2 linked regions of the Daphnia pulex genome follow. The protein of the gene in region 2 purifies or fractionates together with the protein of the main gene of each other region. This does not show direct contact. Links are inferred from orthologs where the notes say so. Each region holds a gene or a part of one and is shown on either strand. Other genes may lie near its edges.

Region 1 (2,775 bases), on a different chromosome or scaffold from region 2:
AAATGGGGGGGCTTTGTATTCCTTCCGCAAGTGTGTAAACTCTTTTTTCTTCTTCTTCCTACTTTTGTGGTTCTATTCTGTTCTTGTTTTAACCGCGAACCATATGCAAAGAAACAGACACGGGGGCCCCAATTCCCATGAGAGACTTTGAAATGTTAAAATATTCCGGCATGTTGTTCAGAAGAAAATTCTAACCAAGGACACCATTTATTCTTTCTCCACCCAAACCCCCAACTCGAGTAAAATGAAAAGCCATTAAAAAATGTTGATCTTACCGGTTAAAGATGACTATCCCAGATGGGAATCATGTTTATCTTAAAGACACGTGTAAAGTTGGAACAAAATAAAAACGAAGATAATCGCCACGAGTTGTGCACACACACACACACTAACGACACATGTTTCACAGCGTTTTCATCTGTTGGCAGAAGGGAGTAGACGAATAATAAACATTTGGCTCTACAACTTGTATTTTCAGCAGTGACTAAAGAGGTATATCCTCGCACGTGAAGTTCAAGAATGTGTCTGAGCTGGGACGGCCTTCCCGTCGTCCTTAACTATATCCCAACACATTTGTATATAACGGGGAGAGACTGGATTCCCCTCGGGCTAGACTTTTGAGAATTCCCATTGGTTGTAGCACATCCCCTCCCATAAAAGAACGGCGGGAACCTGTGATGAAACAGACTGCCGCCTACTAACGTCAGTCTGACGAACTAAAAGCAAGAGAAAATCAAAATAGGAAAACCCTTTCTCAACCGCCGCCACATTTCTGCGTTAAGATTTACCAATCATTAACTTTTTTACTTGTGAAACAATTACTTGACACTTCAAGGTTGTTTGAATAAATTATCTTCGAGAAAATAAAGCCAAAAATTGCTCGATAAGGACATTAATCTTCTTCCGGAGAAAAGTCGAATTCTTTCCTCATTTTTAGGAAATTTAAAGTAAAGAGTAAAGACGCTTGGATTTGTTTCTTGTTCATAAAATTTTGTAACCTTTTATAGTTGGCCACGGTCCCTACAAAGAACCGAAAAAAAAGAGGTATTTATATGTTTTTACTATGTAGCTTTAAAACCAGTTCCCTTTATAGGGCACACATTTTCAGAAGGTTTTCCATATTTATATTATATTGCATAAGTTTGACACGAGGAAATCTCATTCATCGCCCTCATAATTTTTTTTTATTTGTTAATTTCTCCATTTGACCATTTCTCGAAAATATACTGTCCCCTGGTGTCGATGATTGTTACTTCTTGCTTCGATCGTGGCAGACGACAAAGCATTATAAAAACCAAAAACAGTCTAATTAATTGCACACTGTTGGCTTGTAGGTACGGCCAAAATACTGAAGGTTGGCTGTAACTTGAACTTGATTTAAACAATCGTCGACAAATTTCATAAAATACGTCCTGGTTTCAAAAGGGGAAATGTCGTCTAAAGTTGTTTTATTTGAAAGTACCACCCAAGAACTGGAGAAGCAGGAACTCGAGGTACTGTTGTCGTTTTGTTGACGAAAACTTGGAACAATTAATTGCAATGATGTCTTTCCTTCAGGGTGCGAGCGGATTGGTTTTAGCAGATTTGCATAGTCAGTTACTCAGTATATATCTGTGTAATTTTGACTTGTAAGTATATTAGTTACATTGTAATGACTGGTGCTAATAATCAAGAGTTTTTCTTACGCTGATGTAGATGCAATGCTAAATTTCTTTGGAAACGAATCTCAAATGAAGAGAAAACTGCATTCCCCTTACTTGGCCAAATCTGGGAGGTAGGTCAAAAACTATGGTTAAAAGAGCACAATTCAGTGTTCAGCCTTCTCAGAAACACAAGTTGGCCTCCATCAATCGAACCTTACATGACCTGTCTGGAAGAAAATCTTCGGCAAAAATCAATTCAACTCATAGGTATATAGTTCAAGAACATCCTGAAAGAAATTTTCAATGAAAATGAAATGTGTTTATTATTTTTAGGGAAAGCTTATCTGTCCATAACTTCAACCACCTTCACTGAATTGGTTGGTTATGTTGATTATCCAGAGAATGCGGAAAAATTACTCGCGAAGCTACAGGAAGAGCAAGGTTGGACGTGTGATTCTGCTTCCAAATTAATCATACCTAAGCGACAAGCCGCCCAAAACGTTCCGTTGATGCGGAATGAAGAGCAATTGCAGAGTCTTACCCAATTCGTCTCGTTCTTGGAAAATTAAATCAACTGAATACGTTACTTATGTTTATACCCAAGAAAATAAACTTGATCGATGAAACGGAAATTATTTTACATATTATTTGCATACTATTCAATTGATAGCAACCAACACAGCTCAAAAAATTAAATTAGGAACTTTGACCCCAGGATCACTCGGACTCGGCAACGAATTTCAACTCTCAACATAATGAGAAAATACCACGTGATATTTTGTTTCCCGGTTGTATTTTCACTGCTGTTCTGTGTCATGGTACAACATCTGTACAAGGGGCAACGGTTGAATAGGAAGAGAAGCTCAAAAGTTCTATGCAAAGATAATCTTCAGAATCAGAGAGGGAATGACAGATCCCACAATTAATAAGCGATTCAATTCGCGAAGAAAAATTACTAGGGCGCTTGTCATCGTGTCAATAGATCACTTAGTCTGAGAATTAGGGAACACAGACCACACATACAAGGTATTAGTATTAGGATCCCTCATAGTCACTGCACCTAGACCGTCGGTTTCTTGAATAAGTTCGTCCTCATTGATCAGCTGGAGTTGCTGAACTTCCTGCATAACAA
Region 2 (4,102 bases):
TACTAGTGGAGTTCTACTGTCGGCAATAAAACTCAAATTTTAAAAATTATTGGAGTTCTATTGTCGTGTAGTGGAGTTCTAATGTCCACTCCACTACGTGACAATAGAACTCCACCACTCCATTTTTTTTCTAAAAAAAAAGAATAATTTTCCTGCCAGTGGCTGTAAGGCAGCAGCAACGGTTATCTAAGTTTGAGTTAGGTTTCCAACTAACTTTGGCATGTTGAATCTAGAGAAAATATTACAATAAACATTCCAACATTAATGCACTAAACTAAAGTTAATTGCTACCTACTGCTTGAGTAAAACATTCAGAAAAATAAAGGCCCCATCCCATCTATCCATCCCATTTTACCATTTTAACCAATGGTCGATCTTCTTTCTTGATCGATCGATCCAAATTCTTTTAAGGTGCACATCTCAAATCTAATGTTTACAATAATGTCATTATTCCTGATCTCAAATTACTAATAACGAGTAACTACGATCGAGAACCGAAATGCCAATTTTTATGAAACCGATGTATTCGCACTTCGCAGAAACTATTCAGGTAATTCCTATTTTTGATTTGTTTTCAGTTTTAATTTTAGGTAACACAAACAAAGAAACAAATAGTTTTGAACAGTTAAGGAAGCGGTATCCTACAACAAAGATTGCAGGTTCTTCTCTATTTATTTTTAGTAATATTCAACTATTTTTGTTTTCGAGATGAAGTGTTTCTTTTTTTCTTCTTTAAATCATTATCATTATCCATTGTAAGAGGACGACGCATTGGTGCCTGAACACTTTGGCAAATATCACTAGTAGAAGGAATGTTTGTCTCCGAGTATTTTGGTGCCCATAAAAGAATATGCGCCCCATGTGCAGATGCTAATATGTTACCCAATTGATCAAACCGATTTAAGCACATGATCCCTTTCTGTCCAACTGGCTCAAGCTGGCAAATCAGCTCCCCGTCAGATGCGTCGAAAAAATCCACAGTGCGGGGTTCACTTCCTGGATTAAATGTATCCATTCCTTGTGAGCCCGTGAACTTGGGGTCTGGATATCGTCCAACTACAATAATGTCTTCTAATGGGTGCCAATCTGCCTGTCGATCCAATATAGCGAAAGAGCATAAAGGATAAATTATTTTAAATATTATAAATTTTAAAATCAAACTTTAATAGGCGAAATGTGTTGAAAATGTCGGTGAGGATGGAGAATTTTTGTTTCCAAATTCCAAAGTGGGCCAGAAAAAATTTTCAGTTCGCTGTGTTGATCTGTAATCAAGAGCCTTGTTCCGTGTGCTGGGCTAGTAGTTACGAAAAGATAAATAGAATTTCAATAAAATGCCATTTGCAAAAATCATTTCCATAAAAAAAAGTACCTAAAATACGCAGAATTTACGCCTCCCTTTTCATGCTTAAGTTCTACAAGCGCGCTTTCGGTATTCTTTATATTTCTCACATCCCACAAGCGAACGAAATTATCGCCGGACGATGTGACAAATAGCCAAGGCGTTCTTAATGGTAATAATAATAAAAAAGAAAGTAAATTCATTCAGTTTTGTTGACCAACAATTTAAACTTACCCAGAGTGGAATTCAATGTGGTGCACTTTTGATTTATGTAAACGTTGTTTCCATATAGGAGTCCCGTCTTTGGTAAGCAAATTTACATATCCTTTATTATCTCCAGCAAGCAGAAGTCCCCCAGTGAAGGATACATCAAAAGAGGTGTACCAATTACTACAAATATTAGGTATTATTAGGTACTAAGCCTAAACCCCCAGATTATGTTTCTTAAATAACAAAAAGTTTTACTTGAAGCAGTCTTCTCCGGTGTTTAAGTAAACAGTAACTTGGTTACTTCTTAAGTTCCTCCTACAGAATGTTCCATCAATTGAGCAGGTGTAGAGGTGATTATCTTCATTATAATCAAATTTCATTGCTTGTATTGATCCCCCTGCCCCTAACTTTTATATAAATATAAAATCTTATGTTATTTGATTAAGTTTTATGAAAAATACTCCTTGTATGAAGACATCATGAGATTCATGCTGATGATTCCACAGAATGATATCTCCTCCTTTGGAACCAACTGCAAGAGTGGTGAGTGACTTTGGGTGCCATACTAAGGAAGTAATTCTACGGTCAAAAGGAGATGCAGTCTTAAAAACTTTCAAATGTTGCACACTTTGCATAACATGAAACTTCAGGGTCTGAAAATGATGTAGCAGTTTGTTGAGAAATATATATATATGTTGAATTCTTGATAAATCAATTGTAGAGTAATACTACCTTTTCAAAGCATCTTGAAATTGGTTGGCCAGTTTGTCTTTTTGTAATGTATGACAAGAAATTTTTTCTGGAGAGAGGTTTTACATTAATTGCGGTTTCCAAATCACCAACTGAACAACTTGCAATATCTGATTTTGTTTGTTTTTTTATTTTAGCCGACTCCCTTATTTTAGCTTCAGGTTTCGGTAAAACAGATTTGCTACATCTTTTGGGCACTAAGGTCTTTTCAAAATCGTCATCCGATTGATCTGAACAGAAATCTCTATCAAATCATAAAACAAACGATATTGCCTAAAGTATCAAAAATAAATATTTTCTAATTAACCTTTTCCTTTTGGGAGCTGAAGAACTCTTTTTCTTATTTTGTGGTGCCATTTGCATATAGACCTTACAAATCAGTCATTTGCTAGGAAGTTTCAAGTTTGCATCCAATATATTTGAAAAGTATTTCAACAATTCAACGTTCTACACTTCTACCCGGTTCATACTGATCCATGTGGAAATAAAAGACGTCTGCTACCAAAAAAAACAAAAATGCCCACCCAAGCGGATTTAAATGTTACTATAATTGTTTGATTAGAAGTGGAATTTGTTAAGCTTTTGATAAATTAAATCTAATCAAACTATGTTTTTTAACACAAAATTTTTGGTTCAAGCCTATCAACTGATACATTCCATCCATTTATAACTTTAAGATTACTGGGAATGAAACCTAGCGGGAGTAATTAGTGTTGATGGTGTTTCGTCTGCTTGATTTTATTGAATCATTCATTTCGGTCGTGTTAAACAATTTATAAATAAAAAAGAAAATGCCGCAGCCATTAAAATTAGCTGTTATTTGTTCAAGTAACATGAATCGCAGCATGGAAGCACATAATTTTTTGAGGTATTTTGTATGTTAACTATTTCGGAAAGCTATGCATCGTTGTTGTTCTTTTCTAAACTGAAGTATTCTGTTATCTGTCACGCAATAACCTTAAACAAATGTTTATTATATTACTTCCTTAGCAAGAAAGGATATCGAGTGCAATCATTTGGAACTGGAGACAAAGTGAAATTACCAGGTGCAGCCCCTGACAGACCCAATGTATATGAATTTGGGACACCTTATGATGACATCTATCAAGATCTCTTGCAGAAGGATAGAGAATTGTACAGTTAACTTCAAATGCAAATAAACTTGAAGGAATCCACATTACAATTACACATTTTTATTGTAGGTATACTAGAAATGGACTTCTTCATATGTTAGACAGAAACAGGAGAATTAAACCCCACCCAGAGAGGTTTCAGTCGACTACAGAACAATTTAATCTTATTCTTACATGTGAAGAACGAGTTTATGATCAAGTGATTGAAAGTAATAATGAGAAATTTGTTGTTATTTCAGAATTCAGATATAATCAGTTCATCTATTTTATTTAAAAAAAGGCTTGGAAGGCAGAGACAGTCAGACTACTCCTGTTCATGTGGTAAACATTGAAATTCAAGACAACCATGAAGAGGCAACAATAGGTGCATTTCTCATGTGTGAATTGGTGTCCATGGTAATAATATTGAGCAACTTTTTTTTATTTTAATGGCTATTTTAAAGTGTTTTAAATTGGTTATTTAGATGGCCAACAGTGATGACCTTGATAATGATATTGATGAAATGTTGCAAGATTTTGAAGCAAAATGTCAACGACCAATACTACATTGTCTTCTGTTCTATTGATACACATCTCATATATTACCATATAAAGAAAAACGAAGTATGACCATCAAATTGTATTTCCAGTATTTGATACACAGGCTCACTGATCCAAATGAGCGTATACT

Evidence for each region. The genes of interacting proteins can lie anywhere in the genome.
Region 1: the proteins of DNA damage-binding protein 2-like (region 2) and COP9 signalosome complex subunit 8-like purify together in Homo sapiens (affinity purification with mass spectrometry; 6 studies listed by BioGRID and IntAct, counting the BioPlex papers as one, with this or other methods). This does not show direct contact. The link is inferred for Daphnia pulex from reciprocal best matches to the Homo sapiens genes DDB2 and COPS8.

The regions. Positions count from the first base shown.
Region 1 is NC_060017.1:2,513,575-2,516,349, reverse strand, and holds COP9 signalosome complex subunit 8-like, read left to right. Parts: upstream 1-1,284; 5' UTR 1,285-1,430; coding exon 1,431-1,493; intron 1,494-1,557; coding exon 1,558-1,628; intron 1,629-1,695; coding exon 1,696-1,910; intron 1,911-1,976; coding exon 1,977-2,212; 3' UTR 2,213-2,275; downstream 2,276-2,775. Other genes in the region: zinc finger protein 724-like, read right to left, coding at 2,627-2,764. UniProt on the Homo sapiens protein: Component of the COP9 signalosome complex (CSN), a complex involved in various cellular and developmental processes.
Region 2 is NC_060018.1:5,111,775-5,115,876, forward strand, and holds DNA damage-binding protein 2-like, read right to left. Parts: upstream 2,793-4,102; 5' UTR 2,663-2,792; coding exon 2,607-2,662; intron 2,544-2,606; coding exon 2,282-2,543; intron 2,203-2,281; coding exon 2,011-2,202; intron 1,957-2,010; coding exon 1,805-1,956; intron 1,730-1,804; coding exon 1,574-1,729; intron 1,505-1,573; coding exon 1,370-1,504; intron 1,295-1,369; coding exon 1,162-1,294; intron 1,091-1,161; coding exon 692-1,090; 3' UTR 507-691; downstream 1-506. Other genes in the region: RNA polymerase II subunit A C-terminal domain phosphatase SSU72-like, read left to right, coding at 3,091-3,167, 3,290-3,433, 3,502-3,641, 3,713-3,828, 3,897-3,998; large subunit GTPase 1 homolog, read right to left, coding at 4,078-4,102.